Mytilus edulis: one gene and its partner. The protein of the gene in region 1 interacts with the protein of each later gene in a biochemical or structural test. Links are inferred from orthologs where the notes say so. Each region holds a gene or a part of one and is shown in the gene's direction. Other genes may lie near its edges.

What was found. The genes of interacting proteins can lie anywhere in the genome.
Region 2: the proteins of egl nine homolog 1-like (region 1) and peptidyl-prolyl cis-trans isomerase FKBP8-like form a complex in vitro, tested with the Homo sapiens proteins (2 studies listed by BioGRID, with this or other methods). The link is inferred for Mytilus edulis from reciprocal best matches to the Homo sapiens genes EGLN1 and FKBP8.

What each region holds. Positions count from the first base shown.
Region 1 is NC_092346.1:64,074,753-64,084,082, forward strand, and holds the start of egl nine homolog 1-like, read left to right. Parts: upstream 1-5,407; 5' UTR 5,408-5,735; coding exon 5,736-6,668; intron 6,669-9,330. UniProt on the Homo sapiens protein: Cellular oxygen sensor that catalyzes, under normoxic conditions, the post-translational formation of 4-hydroxyproline in hypoxia-inducible factor (HIF) alpha proteins.
Region 2 is NC_092347.1:90,565,355-90,573,813, forward strand, and holds the start of peptidyl-prolyl cis-trans isomerase FKBP8-like, read left to right. Parts: upstream 1-4,553; 5' UTR 4,554-4,666; coding exon 4,667-4,667; intron 4,668-8,459. Other genes in the region: U11/U12 small nuclear ribonucleoprotein 35 kDa protein-like, read right to left, coding at 4,310-4,312. UniProt on the Homo sapiens protein: Constitutively inactive PPiase, which becomes active when bound to calmodulin and calcium. Seems to act as a chaperone for BCL2, targets it to the mitochondria and modulates its phosphorylation state.

The sequences.
Region 1 (9,330 bases):
TGGACTGCCACTGGAAAATGAGGGTATATTAGATAGGGACATAAATTTTGCCTTGCAACAGGCCACCAACGGACCCCTCAAAGAGTTGTTGCAAGGGTTCTTAACATGCAAAGAGCGTGGCACTTTCTTTACACGAGGCATCGGATTGAACGTCCCCCTTCTGAACGGACGTGACTGCGAACTTGATACATCCCGCACAGCCAAACGGACGCCCCACTTCGGCAAGCGTTTTACTGCCGGTCGGGAGAAGACCAAGTGACCACATTTCTATACCCCAGTCACCCTATGGGTTAAAAAACCCCAAAGTAATCCACATCAAAACAATTCCCGATTGTCCCACATTTAACCTTCCCAGGTATCCCACTCGGTGCTTTGCTTTGCATTTGCGTCCATTGGCATTTCATTTGCACCAAATATAATCTTACATTTGCGCCACAGACCATATTTCATTTGCGGCAATAATACAGGTAAATAATTAAAAACATTGATTTTTTCCACAAAAAGCGGACTCTTAATGATAAAGACAGTTTTTGTTTGCATAATACTAGTAAAACATAATTATCAGAAATCCGTTAGTCATCATTAAACCAAACAAGATATTTCGTTCTAGCTGTTACTTTGAACATATCTTAAAAGGAGTAAATATTGCGAGACAGTTCTCAGCATTATACAGTATAGTAAAATTATAATTCTATTAATTTCAGTTGTTATTCTGGCTTTGCAAGTTTTATGGCATGATTTTTTATATGATGCATATAATATGATAAGCGTGTGATCATAAAACAAATACAGATTTCCTCTGTTTGTCTCTGAACTGACAATTAATATCAATCTATACACCTAAAACATGTGAACACTTTTTTTTAAACCTCAGTTTTGTATTAAAAATGAGTACAGGAGAAATACTGTAAAAACAGATCTTATTCACGATACAACAATGAATAATTTAATTTTGGATGTAACGCGTCTTCTGCCGGATTGGCTGACGTTATTTTGTTATGAGCCCATAGACATAATTTAGTCATGTGACTGTGACGTCATCAACGTTTTTTCATGGTTTTCTACGGTTTAAAACGGAATAAAGAATTAAATTATAAGAAATGACTGTAATATTTTTTCTGTCTATTCGAAATAACATAAAAAATGTGGTGCACACTGTTAAATAACCCGCTACGCGCGTTATTCAATGTGGACCAAATTTTTTATGTTATTTCTTCATAAACAGAAAAAATATTACAGTCATTCCTTAAATGCATTCCGTTATATGTTACCTGTATTACCTGTGAAATGGCGAAAATGAAGTGTTTGAAGTTTGGCGCAAATGAAAGATTGGATTTTTAAGAAATTGGTGCAAATGCAATGCGCGCCCGTCCCAATAACATATTCTGGATTGTGCCACAAAATTTCATTACTTTTTTACCTGTACTACAAAAATGTTGGACAATCGGGAAGACACCGAATAGTTGGCTTAAGAAGGCCCCAATATGAAAAACATGAAAGTATTCAATTGAAATAAAAACCAACGGCCTAATTTACAACAAATCAATTCACGAAAAACATGTATATGACAGACATAAACAAACCACAACAACTAAACTAGTCTCCTAGCTTAGTACAGAATCACAAAGAATATGGCGAGGCGAAACATATTTCTGGGCGCTCAAACCTCCTCTTACAAGCAACAGTAGTGTCACATCACAACATAAGAACAAACTATGAAAATAAGTTTGCAATTTGCTTACCTCAAAACTTAGGTATACGCTGAAGGAACAAAAACGGCTAACACTCAAAACATTCCTACGGACACAAAGCACCTAAATAACAGTACCTGCAGTAAACCAAGGCTAGTTAAAAGTAATTATGACTAATAAATAAATTTTGTTTTCCCAGACTTAAGTATCATCTCAAACAGATTTAGTGTAAAGACGCCATAAGCAGTCGGAGAAACGCATGACCAAAACAACACCAGAAGATATAGGATCCGTAATTCTCATATTTGTACACATGTTGCAATATATTGTATATCTAGTTATCTTTTCTTTCCTTCTTAAAAACAAAATCAATGTTGATATTGATATAAGAACCATCTAAACATTATTTTATTACTTTTAAATTGATACCTTTATTCAAATGATCAATTATGTGTTCATCGGCTCTGTAAACAAAACCGTGCCCCTTTTCCTTTTTATTTTATGATATCTAGGATTTCGACGACAATGTACCGATATCAGTAGCCAGTCACTTTATTTCTATTGATATTTTAGCCTGTTGCAGAGAGACATAATAGACATGTTTACATCAAAATTTGAGTTCCTTGAATCCAAAGGGGCATTGACTTCGAGATATAAAAATAATAAAAATATGGGTTTTTTTTTTGTTTTTTTTTTAGCATCTATGAAAATGAAATATAGTGAAATAATAATTCGCTTTTAGCAGGGAGTTTTGTTCAATCTTGTCAGAATATGCTAAGAAAAAAAGGTCGAAAAATTATTCACTTGTAAGTGAAAAATTCGACATCATTCAATTCATATTCATGTGGCCTTCAATTTAACCCCAGAGAGGCCGGTTACCCATGAACTAGGCGTGTTCAGCTATTAAAAGAAAAATAATGTCAACATTGAAAGTGAAACCGAATGAAAATCACGTGCCGCAATAATATCATGGCGTTCGAAAATATTAGAAATAGGACAAAACAACTTGATCCCCGAAAATCAAATAATCTTTAAAATACTTTTGTCACTATTAAAAATAGTTCTGAGCCGGATGATAAACTTTTTGTTTGACTTATTCGATCCATGTAAGCTCATTGTTAGGTAAAAACGATGATCAACCTATTTTGTTTACCTAAAATATGAAATCAAACAGACCTAAAAAAAATCTAATTGCACGAATTACTACCTATTTATATCTATGCTTATATCGGGTTATATGACCGTCGGCAGTTTTCGGAGGTCACCTCGGTGGTTAATTAGGTGGTATTATCCGTATAGACTGAAATACACACGAAATGCTGAAACATATTACCGTGTTCATGCATCGTAAGATGTGTATTATAAAAAATTTATAATTTAGATATAGGCCTACGTTTTAGTATGAATTATTCATCTACCTCAGGTGTATATTGACATTTCAATTTTTCTTCAGTTGATTGTTCGTTGAATTATATGTAACAAACACTTCACTCATCCTCTGAAGTCGTCGACAACATCGGTAATTTTAATTCAAAGCAGTTGTCTTTAAAACCAATTTGGTTTACTCCTGGTTTATCTCATAGGTACTTAGGGACAGGACAATTTTTTTAGCTCTCCCCCTTTTTTCAAATCCGTCGTTATTTTTCCCTTTTAATTGAAATTATTTTCGCGTTTAGCTGTATAACATGAACATAATCATACTAGAAATAACCTGTATTTGTTTACTTACTACTGTACCAATTGAATCACATATCATGACATATTATGTAGCCGATCAGCTGAGACTTCTCATGCTAACACATATCTATAAGGCACTGCTACGGTTACATGGAAATGTAACAATAATAAAATAATTATTGTTACATTTGAAACTAATTGCCGGAATACAGGGAGGGTACAGATCCGATTAATTACTAATGTAACAATACTATTTGTGTCTGCGGTTACATTGAGTAATTGTTACATTACTGCACTTCAACGTACGGTAGATTTATTAAACTTAAACTAAACCTTCCCTAGTTTTTTTGCTTATTTTTTCGCTAATTAAGAACAACGACGAACGAATGAATGTGGGCAACTGTTAACATTAATTGCATTCAAATTGACTTTTAAGTTTTTAAGATTTATTAGGTTTTTCAGCTATGCTAAGTTGGATATTGAAATCGGAGAGAGGTGAACATAAAATCATATAACAACCCACAATAGTCTTTAGATAGTGCAGAATGCAATACTGACGTGGACATTGCTGCATCACTCGTTTGTAAAGGCTGCTTAATTATAGTGGTTTCACCAAAATGTGTCGGACTAAAACATGCCCCAAAAAAACTGTCATTGTAAATAAAATCAAAATGCATTGTAGAGTTGCATTGTTGTTGATAAATCCAAATAAAATTATTCAAGTTTTATTTTGATACATATTACTAGTCCCAGTGTACATTGAAGTGCATTTATGTAAAAATAACGCAATGAAACCGTAGACTCAATTACTATTGTTACATACGTAATTAATCGGTTCCTTACCAAGTGTAACGGAGGGGGTCGGTGACGACACCTCCCGGGTCGTGTAGTGGCCAGTACTTTGTCCCTATACGACCTTCGGGATACCTGATATCAGATTATGGCTGAACAACAGACAATGAATCAAACGAAACTATATTTTATTAAAAAATGTACAATAATTTCATTAAACAAAGTCGGATAAAACAGGAGTCAGAAAACTTTCTTAAATGGAGTTCAAAAATACAGTAATTTCAAATGTAAAATGAAAAATAGAGTGTTCCCAGAGTTAGTCTTAAAAGTAAAGTAAATTTGCTTCGCGTTGTGTTTTAAAGTAGTAAAAGTGTACCAAAAGGGGGTGACTAACTCTGGAGAACTGCACCGAAGTGGTGGCCAACTCTAGACTCGAGTGGTACTAATTTTAGTTCCGGCGAGTATTTGGAGGCCTGTGCAAGGCCGACACCGACTGATTATCAAATGATATCCTAAACTTGTCATTAATCAGGAGAACTTTAACATAAAAGGTACTGACGAAAAGTTAAATAAATGAATATTCTTAAAACATTATAAAAACATCAAAAGTTAAATGCTAAAACAGTTAAATTAACAATCCTTACTTTTATCTTACTATATTTAAATCAAATCAAACCTAAAAGAAACATTTAAATACTAAATAATTAATCTGTTCAAATTAAGGGGAATTAACCTAGGCACATCAGGGCACATCTATTACACCAAGCCCTGCATTCCGGCAATTAGTCTTCAATGTAACAATAATTATTTTATTATTGTTACATTTCCATGTAACCGTAGCAAGTGCCTATATGTATATGGTCTCAGAGATCAGTGACCGCGCTGTGGATAGTAAACTTGGAATTGATAGTAAATAGCAAATACAAATTAAATATATTTCTTGTACATTTACGCTTATAGTATACAGACTTTATACAATAAGAAGCGGAAATAATTAAAATTAATGGGAAACCAAAAAGATAACGGATTTAGGAAAAAAGGGGGAGGGCCAAAAAAATTATCCGTCACCTACCTATACATATTCTTATTTTATGATTCCTTTTGTTATTGTCTTATTGATGTCTAATATATGTTTCTTGTGAGCCCCATTTAATGGAAATATAAAACATCTTCTTCTGCAATGCAAGAAGTCATCTTGTCTGTGTCATTCCATCATTTCATACGAATATTAACAAAAGAAATTTTTATTTTCATTATTGTTTTTATGCTTCAGGCGAGGCATTCGTATCGCACCGACACATCGTCATGCTGAAGCTTGAGCTTTCCGGTGAGAACATTTGCGTCGCCAGACTTACATCTCGGTTTTTGGTAAATTGCCGGATCAAATAAAGAGCAGTCTGAGTACCGAAAACATCAACTTCGTCGTGATATTCAAGACAGCTTCGTCGTGTAGACCTTCATGTATCTTTAAAGTATAATAACACAAACAGCCAAATATTCATTAGTATCCGTGACAACTTGAACACTATCTGTGTCATGGAGGACTGGATCAAACGAATGTAAACATAGGAAATAATGGCTGCATGTGTACGTGACAAGGGGAACATACGCAACGTTTGCCAACTTTGCGGCCAAGTAAATAATTTAATGATCTGTGCAGGTTGTAAAAGAACATGGTATTGTAGCAGGGAGCATCAGAAATATGACTGGAAGTATCATAAGAAGAAGTGCAAAAAGCCAGAGCAACCATCAAACGAAAAGCAAGAATTGGGTCAAAAAACAAAATCGTCTATAAATAGTAACGAAATATCAATACCGGAGGGTTCCCCACGTGTGGATGGGTTACGTGACAGTGAAGATGTAAGTTTAAAAGTTGTTGACACTGACAAAACCATGAGTGAATTAAGATCCTCGAATTCTGCTGGAAATGTTTCCAGATTAGAACAATTGAATTTGGAAGAAGATAAACAAGTTACTGTTCCAAAAATTGGCAAACATTCCTCAAAGGAATTCTTTTTACATTCAAATATTTCAGAGTTAAAACCTTTTACATCAGAATCTGTTCGACAAAATATTGCTAGACACTCTTCTAAGAAAAGAAACAGTTCTGACAAAATGCCGCCAACAACGGAAGAAGAGTTTGACACAAGCAAAACATACTTTTCAGTGCTTGAAACCAGGACTAAGATGCTTGCAGACTATGCATGCAATTGCTTAAATCGTTATGGTGTGTGTGTTATTGACAATTTTCTTGGAAATGGTAAAGGACTTGAAATTCATGAACAAGTCCAAGATATGCATCAAAAAGGATTATTCACAGAAGGACAACTAATGAACTCTGAACGTGGAAATTCAAATTTGAAACATGTTAGAGGAGATGTTTTAACTTGGGTTGATGGTAGCGAGGAGGGGTGTGAAGACATTGGATTTCTTGTATCCTCCATGGATGCTGTTATTTTAAAGTGTGCTGGCAAATTGACTAATGTTAGTGTAAATGGGAGGACAAAGGTAGATACTATTTTGTTGTTTTCATTTGTTTGTTTACTTTGGTTCTTCTCAGAGTCAAATATCCTGTGATGGACATGACATGCAAGTTACAAGAATGTAAAAGCTACAAACATGACTTCAATAACCCAATAAAAATTTGAAGAATCAATAGATTTAAAAGATACAAAGTTGCTCACAAGTATGCATGTAACATGGTATACATGTATATGTTACCATTTTACATAATTTTACAAGAATTGATACTGATACATTGTACAACATGTACATGACATAACATACTTTGTACATTTGTGAAAAATTTACATTCCTTTTTAATATTCAGTTCAAAAAGATTTACAAAATGTACATGATGCAAATGTTCATGTAAAGTCATGTACATGCAACTGACTTTGTACTATCATGACTATACATGTACATGTGTTCAAAACACCAAACACTTACAAAGGTTGTAATTACAAGTAATATTTGTACATGCTAACTCTGAATGAGGCCTATAACTGTAATCATTGACGATTATATTTAAAAACATCTCAGTTTAGATTTCTTTAAAAAATATTAAAGGCTAAATAAATGGACCTTAAAATGTCCAGTTTGAGGAAGGATTTTAAATTTTAGTTTTTTTGTACATGTACAATGTATCTTATTAATCAAAAGGTAAAATATTTTGATAAGAGCATTTGTTATCTAAACCAATGTACATCTTATCTACTGTACATGCAAAAAAACTCAAGTACACCACAGTAATTTTTTATCAATAAATGATGGAAAATAAAGGGGGAAAAACATATAATATAGAATTATAGAATATATAAGTAATACTGATATATACTTGTATAATATGATATAGCTTAAGGATGTATTCTTCTGACTTTTCAGTCTCATTCAGTCTCGTTGAAATCTCGTTCTTGAATTATTTCCAAAACATGTAAAAGAAGGGAAAAATATCAATGAATTTTAAAAATATTATAAGCAAACATAAATCTGTGAAAAAATTGTGTATTTACAATGAATGGTTTTCTCGTAATCCAGTTTTCAAATTTTACGACCAATCAAGTTAGTATTTTTAGCCAAAATTTTGAGAAAATGGGTGAGGGATACAAAAAATTATTTTACAAGAATCATGTACATCCCATATCATTTTGGTCTTTTCAAATTTCTTAGATATGTTTTTTTCATTCATTTATAACAAAAAAGTTGAAAAAATATGCATTTTGTTCTTAAAACTGAGAAAAATCAGAAAAATGCTAAATTGACAGCATGGTAAATTTTACACAAAAAAGCGTCAAAATATGATAAAACTTTCTTATATTAACACCTACCTATAGTTTTTGTAATTAAAATTTATTCAGATTGGTCCACTTCATCTTTTTATAAAGTATGAGAAAAAGTTTAATTGTGGAACTGTGATTTTTTTCATGATAATAGCCCAAAAATAGGTAAAAATCGATGAAAAATGGGAAAATCATCAAAATTGGTCATTTTCAAAGGGCTTTAGCAAAAAAAGAAGTGCACCACCATATGATTTTTTCTTCACCAATTATTTTGTTACAGTCTTATAAATCCAAAAATCAGGTTAAGAAAAAAAGTTTAATTCTAGAAATTTTTGGCTCCTCAGAGGTGTACATCCTTAAATGCTTATTCAGATGATCAGTTTGCATGGTTTAAAAACATTTTAATCTGCAATTGAATTGGATAAAACATTAAGCAATTGCGCAAAAACCTTTTGAATATTCACAGCCATTTATAGCTGACTATGCAGTGCTGGTTTTGCTCATTGTTACCTATAGTTGTTTAATTCTATGTCATTTGGTCTTTTGTGAAGAGATGTCTCATTCATTGGCTGCAGTCATGCCACTTCTATTTAATGTCATTAACCGTTGATCAATGTTGATTATAAATATTTCATGTAATTCACAATTCTGCAGGAATAATATTAACCAAAGTACATGAGAGACATATACATGTAAGAAATTGCATCCATGTACATCATGTACATGTACATGTGTATAAATAATATTGGAAAAAAAGATAGAAATGCAGGCCCATTAGTCATGTTAAAAATGTAATACTTATAATTAGTTCAGGCCTCAGTTTATATTGCCAAAATGTTAAAACACAGTTCACTTACAATTGTAATAACATGAATAAGAACAAAAATTTAATTCATAAAACTGTTTGATAGTTGTGAATTGTTAATGCCAGTTAATGCAGAATTTTGAAACCTTTAAAATAAATAAAAAAATTACTGTTAGTGTTATCATAAGCATTATAAGTCATGTTACATGTACAAACGTTTTAACCCCACATAAAAATGATATTCTGTTGATAAAAAATTTCTTTTTAAACTTTCAGTAAAGTAAATTGAAAGTTAATATTTCTACATTGTATTTTGACCAGTGATAAAAAAGAAATGAATTTGTATAATTTTTTTGTAAGTTTGGTTTAGTGTTTCAGATGGCCAGTTCTGTGTTTGGTAAAACTGTGGTTACTTATTATTATAAAATCATTATTTATATGTTTAGATTATCTTAACAAATATTTTTGCATGGCTTTGACTAGTTTGATATGTTATTTTCTTCTGGATTTTGAAGTAAGATTAAAATCATTTACTAAAATATTGATGACTGTTTCGCAATTCACTTTCATTGACTTATACATATAT
Region 2 (8,459 bases), on another chromosome or scaffold:
ATAAAAGCACATGTTCGACTTGTTAAACTGTTTTCTTTGTAACTGGATTATTAATTTATTTTTTATAGTCTAAATTATTATAAGCTTTTTCTGAAACTTAGGTGAATAACTTGATAAACGAATCGTCTTTCTTCAGACATTTCAGATAGTATTCTCCTGTGTGGTTTGTTGATCTACCTGTACAAGCTCGGGTACAAGTAATTAATTATCTTTATCTAGATATCCCTCAGGCGTTTGAACTGTATTGGATTATAATATAAAAAAGCCTAAGGGTTATGCAATTACATGCATTTGATTATAATTGCTAAAAAAATGGAAAGGTTTCTTATCGTCGAGTTGCAATTTATGAGTTAAGAAAGTCGAGTTGCAAGTTAGGAAAGTCGAGTTGCGAGTTAAGAAAGTCGAGTTGCAAGTTATGAAAGTCGAGTTGCGAGTTAGGAAAGTCGAGTTGCGAGTTAGGAAAGTCGAGTTGCGAGTTAGGAAAGTCGAGTTGCGAGTTAGGAAAGTAGAGTTGTGAGTTACAAAAATATCTTTGACACCTAATTTTCAGGTTTGATTCACACTTGATAAACAAAGCATGCATGTATCCGAACTAAGTTATTCCCGTGATTGCAGAATTTGAATGAGGTATATGTGATACTTATTTATAAGAGTCTAGTAAAAGTTAAGTTCTGGAAGTATTTGAAAAAAAATAATGTTTCCTTAAAGGACGAGATCGATCTTATTTATTCCAGTGCGTTTACACTACAACATAAAAAGGATAAAAAGAACCAGTCTGACCATAAATTACCTTATTACCGTATATTTGGTAAACAAATAATCCTAAAAATAGAATAGTAAAGGAAATTCGGCATCTCGCGTGGACTATAACACACTGCAAAATAATGGAGAAAATAGTTTGCTCATTGGAATTTCGTATGGATTAAATTTTTAAAAAGCTGAATATTCATAATTTGGAAGTAAAGCTTTACTTTTTTCTCAAGTCAGTTAACAGAGGCGGATTTAGAGGGGTTTTCAGGGGGCCCTGCTCCCCCCCTTTTTTGCAAAAAATTTGGTTTATTATATAGAGAATCACTGAAGTATGACTGGAGCGGGTCCCCTCTTAGGCAGTCAGTGGACCCCCACTTATGAAAATTTCTGGGTCCGCCATTGGTTAAGCAAAAACTTTGTTATATTTTGGTACAAAAAAAAAAGGTACAAAGAGTTATAAATTAGATACTTATTTCAAATTGAAAAAATGTTTTTCTAAAGAAATGTACCTACATGCATCTTTAAAACAATTTTAAAATGAAGTGTCATATGTAAAATCAGAATCAGTGGCCATGATCTCAAAATAGAAAGAGACTGATATAAAACTTTATATAATAAGACTTTAAAGGCTTTGTAAGAAATGTACTCTAAATCTAGTTGAAGATGAATAACATTTCATTACAAGTTGTCCAGCATGTACAAAGATGATCTGAAGGGAGATATTTTACAGTCTCTGTACTAATTTTTCCTATCTCTCAAATGAGACAAAATTTGTTTGGTTATTTACTAATGAAAATTTGTCTGTACTTAAATATTTAGGAAACTATATTATTACATATCGAGATGTTAGACGAAATGTAAATGAATATATGTACATTGTAATAACAATAATAATGTTAATTGTAATGATTTTATAGTTCAGGTCCTGTCTTGAATTAAATGTATGTGACTTATTAGAATAACATTTCAACAGCAACCCAACCAAAATATACAATTCAACCAAAGGCCATTAGGTTTTCAACACAGCGAGGATCACCCACCTAGAGGGAGCCCTGAGCAGGCCCAGAAACACAATGTTCATTACATCAAGAATATGGACCCCATTCTATGCTCCTAAATATAAAGATAAACCAAAATTTTTAAAAATATGCAAGAGTAACAAAGGCTAACTATTAAGGTTCCTGACTGAGCACCTTCATCTCTAGCCGATGTAGACATACAATGTATATAATTTTAACGTCCACAATATTGAGTGTCACTGCCAAAGAATAAATTTTGCGGTCCCTAACGAAAAAAATTGCCCGGCTCTGGAGCTGCCCCATAAAGCTCACTCTATACGAAATCTGCAGAACTGAAGGGTTATTTTACATTTATGTATTAAAGTTTGGTTGCTATCTCCCTTTATGTTTAATATGACGGTGCTAGCTATGAAATTTAATAATAATTAAACTGCAAGCCATCCGCTGTATTTCAAAAGGCTATCTGCTTCTTCAGAAAATACGATACGTATGATTTATATGTAAGCAATCCATTTTATTTTTACAAGAGACTCAGATGAAGTCCAAACAACAAAAATAATCAACAATACTGTATACAATTCTATAAGCCATCATCATTCCAAATAAATATAAATCACTGAGTTTCGTTAGCACATTTTGACGCAACTCGACTTTCCTAACTCACAACTCGACTTTAATAACTCGAAACTCGACTTTCTTAACTCGCAACTCGACTTTCTTAACACACAACTCGACTTCTGTAACTTGAAAATCGACTTTCTTAACTCGTAACTCGACTTTCTTAACTCGTAACTCGAATTTCTTAACTCATTTGTGACTTGCAACTCGACTTTCTTAACTGGCAACTCGACTTTCCTAAATCGCATTTCGACTGTAGTAACTCTTTACTCGCAACTCGATACTCAACATCAAGTGAATCTCAAAAAATGGTGTTGAGCTATAAAAAAAGATTACAGTTTTGAACGATGGCGGAAGACAATTTAATGATGGCGCAGGTTATTTGATGATGGCGCAAGACAATTTAATGATGGCGCAAGATATTAGAACAATGGCGAGGCACAGGATATTTAAACGATGGTGGGGAGCCATGACTTTAAACAGGCCATGGAGATCCCTAATATATATTGAATTTTCAAATGTGCAGACAAGAAAATAAGCATGGCGTGGGTAATTTTAACTTAGCGTTTGTAGTTTTAGCTTGTTGCACTGCCACACTTAATTATTAGGTTGTGATGATCCCTGTTTGAATAATGTATATTGATTTAGGTGTCATACCACCAATTACTCCCTCAAATTTAGAACGTATGTGAAAGTAGGCCTACTCGGACAAAAAAAAGTGCATTTGATGTCATTGTTCACCTAAACTAACCAACAAATTTGCAGAAATGAAAGTTTTGTTCAAAGAGAAATATATTAAGACCATTTTGAGCCAAAATTTACCTGTCTATGAGTTTGCATTAAAAATTGAGGATTAATGCGCTCCATAGTATACTAATTTAAGATTTCCAGAAAACCAGGGGTTATTTTTAGTGGTACCTCCTTTCGGAAGCTCTCTGCTTTCTTATATGATTTTGAATGTAACGTGACGGTACCCAAATTGCACCTATTTTGACAGTTTTTTCATCTACGTTTTTTTATGATGAAGACAAAAATGTCCAGTCTGTGTTTATTTTGTAGCCCTATCCTTCTTTATTATAAAGGTACACCAATTTGATTTTTATTTCATATGGAATCATAGAAAAATTGGTCTAAACTGACCTCCAAACCATCAATGATTCTGAAATTAGGAGTACCCAAATTGCTTCCATGCTTAAATTCGCATCGTCAAAAGTCTAATAACAGAGCTTTTGTTTAATTTCTTTAAATATTTTGAACAATTGGATATTAGTCCATGCTTACTCTTCATTATTTTTTAAATGGATACTTGTAACATATTGTATTTGCTCATTTTAAAAAGATGACGTTTTGATGACGTCGCATGGTGACGTTTCAGTACATTTTGCTTTTTCAGTAAATACTTCATCTGTTGATAGATACTGTGAACGTTTTGTGCATATCTAAATAGTTTTACCTATGTTGAAAGATGTGCTTAGTATCAAATCATAAAAAAACAAATTGTTTAGTCTCTAGAAAATCTTGTAAGATTTTCGCTGCTAGTTTTGCTAAATAGGTGCAATTTGGGTACTTGGTGCAATTTGGGTACCGTTACGTTATGTTGAAAATTGGCATGAAGAAAGGTGACACCTGTACAATTCAGGATATACCTAGTTTCTATGAAGTTAAACTTAAGGTAAAATATTTAGAAAGCTGTGAAAATTGCAAAATTTGGTTGAACAGATAGGGACTTTTAATTGGTGGTATGACACCTTTAGTGTCCTGTATTCTGTGTCCAACAATAGCAGATAACATTATCATATGGGTACCAGACAGTACAGCTAGTTCATGGAATTTTTTTTTTGCGGCTACAAATTCATATCATGACTAAACAACAGCTTTTTTTAAGTTGTATAAACCAGCATTTTAGGTGTTGATTTAATTACCATAAAAATGTTGATAAGTTTGCTTACTCAACTCTAAAAGATAAGAAGGTTTTGATGGGTCTGGTTTTTTTCTCAAAGTAACCAGTCGTATACACTATTTGCGGTTGTCGTGTATGGGAATCTAATTAAAAAAAAATATTTGCATTTTATTTACTTTATCAATATATGGTATATTAAATATCATATATTAATCATGGAATCTGCTATTTTTTTTAATTAAAATCATTGTTTTTATTCAACATGCACCGGTAATAGTATGTCGTAAAAAACATTCAGAAGTGAAAGTTGATAATCTTTCCGTATTTTTATTTGCAATTTGTTTTTCTAACTGTCACTTAAACATTCCAGTAACAAGAAAGTAGGTAGATGAGATGATAAAATACATCAGTTACGAAAAGTTAACTGTAGATTGATAATTGCTACGAATTTGATCATTTGATGTTCAGAGTGTGCATGTTTGACCTTTTTAGTTTTTGACAGCATGATTTACAGACCGGTATCAAACACTGGCTTAGGTACAGACTGCAGGATTTTTAATTAAAAAAAAATGTTTTTTTTTTTTGCAATGAATATTAAAATTTTCTATTTTCATACCACATACTTAACATTACAATACTTGTCTTGAAATTTTTCTGATGAAATTATCAATATAAAGTACGTAGCAATACCACCGCTAGAGCTACACAATACACCTTATCGCTATTCCCGGCTGACCCGTCCGCTTGAACTTTTGACGTCAACAACAATCACTTTTCCATTGTGGCGTCAGACATTTTGTTTTATGACGTCAAAATTTTACGGGAACCTGTGTGATTTCCAGCAATGGCGGACAAATAGCGATAAGGTGTATACAACATCCATAGCTAGAGGACACACAACACTATTTCTTGTACCGTATGCCAGAACTTCAACATACAGGCATTCCTTCTTTCCAGACAGCATACAGATATGGCCTTCCACAACCTTTGGTGGATAGTACCTAACTAGATGCTTTCAAGCAGGGGGTACTGAGCTGTAGTATCCCTTAATCGCACCATCAGACTGTTTTTAACTTGCACCTGTAAATATTTTCTTGCACCTTTGTTGTCACACCCAGCATGGGCAATAGTGCGATAATACTCAATTAGAGGACTGCACTGTATTGGAAGAAGAAAAAGTAAATTTTGTTCTATCATGTCTATAATGACTTTTTTAATGTACTTTTGAATATTGGTTAGGAATGTCTTCTTTGGCAAAGAAAGTTGAATCCAGAGGTTGCAGCTTTATCTGAGTATTTTCATAATAATGATGCAGAGAGCATCTACTACTCATGCTACTGGCACATACAAGTGAAATCAATCAATTCATTTGTAAAGTTAGATATTTTCGCCATGAAAGTATGTCCACCAGACACTATTTCACAGAATTGTGTCCACTGTTATTATGAAATTTTGTCAGGATGATATCTTGTCCTCAGATGTGAAAAGTGTCCTTCAAAGAAAGGACCATATTTCATAGGCTAAGGGTTCCTTCATAGAATGGACAGTATCTTACACAAAACAGTGTCTACTCTCAATACCTATGTATGGGGGTTTTGTCTCTAATAAACATGATAAAACACATGACATGTAAACTTTTAGTTTTTAAATCATACGAAATATCATCACCATGTGTAATTTAACATTAATTTTACAATAAAAACATGCACTTATACACACACAAACAGTAATAGAATTGAGAATGGAAATGGGGAATATGTCAAAGAGACAACAACCCAACTTAAAGGCAGTAAGCAGACAAAGGTGTTGTTCATGAAATGCATTTAAAAATATTTTGTTTAGAACAACAGAAACCCAGATATATATTTATACTATTAAATGAGAAGACCTCATTTTGTGTGTTGCTTCTCTTCCTTCCACAATAAATTAATCATCATGCCTTTGTGTCCTATAGGCATGATATATAGGTACAATGCATAGTCTCATTTATCATTTATTTATCATCCTTGCTTATGATTATTCAGTTTGGGTTATTTTGGGAGGAAAATAAACATGATAAAGGTGTCCAGATATTGTTTTAGACTAGATTTTAAGTACTTTGGGACAGTACAATTATTTTAGAGTTTTTCTGTATACTGTGATCATACATACATGATATATAGTATAAATAAAGTGTATTTGCTATTTACTATCAATTCCAATACTGTTGTTTACTTTCCACCATTTATACATGTTTACCCGTACTACATTTTTGTACATGTTATAGTATGTGTTCATTATATACAGAAAAACAACAAAAAATGGTCTGGAAAAAAGGGGAAGGGCTAAAAAAAATAATTGTCCTGTTCTCAAGTACAATGTACCTATGACTAATGAAACCTTTCCTGTAATTTTCCAGGTACAATTTTTTTTACAAAAAATTATCCTTCAACAGATTACATATGCTCTAAATGCGATTTCTTGGGTGTGTTCTAGTTAAATTGAAAAAAGAATATTAAATTATTAAGACATCATTAACCTCTAGATATTACAATGTATTATGCAGGTCATAGGTTAAAAAACGCTAAACAAGGCCTTAGGCAGCAACCATTTGATTTTTTGAGGGGGCTATGGATTTTTTCAGCCTTATTTTGGCGACAAGTCGAAAACATTATTCTTTCAATTTTAGCATTACATACATGTATAGTGGCAGCTGAGGGTGAAACAAACATTTTTTTTTCTCAAAGTAAAAAACAAATTATTTTTTTCTCCAAAAACTGGAAACAGACTTCTTTCCAAAAAAATCCATAGCCCCCCCCCCCCCCCCCCCCCCCCCAGAAAATCAAATGGTTGCTGCCTTATAATTATTGTGAAGAATAAAATGATTAGAGAGACAACGGAGAGCTAACTAAATAATTCATTATCATTAACAACTCTTTACAGTCTACCATGCACCTGTTATGAATATATTTCACACATATAGTGAATATAAAGCCTCTTTTGTTACATGATAAGTGGTAATCAGGTCATCAATGGATTATTTGGACTTGTCAATCAATAATATAGTTTCTGTTTTACAGGTACATTTTGGTCATTTATTACAGGCTACATGTATATCAAATACAATATAAACATTTTTTGATGAAATAAGAAATTTGAAGGATTATTTTAATTTGTAAAAAATATAGTACAGTGTAGTATATCAAATACAATATAAACATTTTTGAAGGATTATTTTAATTTGTAAAAAATATTAGTTATATTTTTTACAAATTCAAATAATCCTTCAAATTTCTTATTTTATCAAAAAATGTTTATGTTGTATTTGATATACATGTAGCCTGTACACGTGTACATTAGCCATGAAAACTCAATCAATAATAATACAAATTGTACATCATTGTACAAACAGCTATATATGGCTTAGTGCACATGTCAGAAATCTCCTTTTAGTTTTTAGTGTTTAAGCTCTCTTTAAGCATTTAGTATTTAGTCAGGCGCAGGACATTTTAGGGAGAAAAAAAATAGCTACATGTACTAGGGGACATTTGAGCGACAACACTAGAGCCCATTTTTGCATTAGATTAATTCGTTCACCTGTATATTTCGATAGCCCGTTTTAGGGAAAACTTACCTGGTTGAATATTAGTAACTCACTAAGCTTTGGGCAGAAGTTCATTGTATTTTAAAGGGAACAAATAGTGGTCCAGAGTCGTTCCATGACCATTATAATGAGCAATGTTATAGTTGTCATCCAGCTATTTACGTTTTTCTTGATACTATTTTCAAATTGCAAACAACATATACAAAAACACGAAGTATAGACGAATGTGCATCAAAATCTAGACAAGATAAAGAGAAAGAACAGTTTCTAATGCAATTCAACAGTATTGTATGGGGGGTATATCCAGAGCCCATTACGTACGTTCTCTAGGACATAAATTCCAGGCTAGAACGAACTTGTAACATTTGATTAAATCTTTGAGACATTTAGTGCTGTATTTTAATGGACATCATATGTTTTATATTGTGATGTCTTGAGTCTATTAAAGTTTTTCGCTAAAATGGGTTCTACTTTGGCGCTAAAACGTCTGATTTTTTTCGGAACATAGTGATGATTAGTTGAAAAGTTCCAACAGAACATATCAACTAGTTAGAAAGTTACTTTTTGCCAAATTAGTCAAAACCAGAAC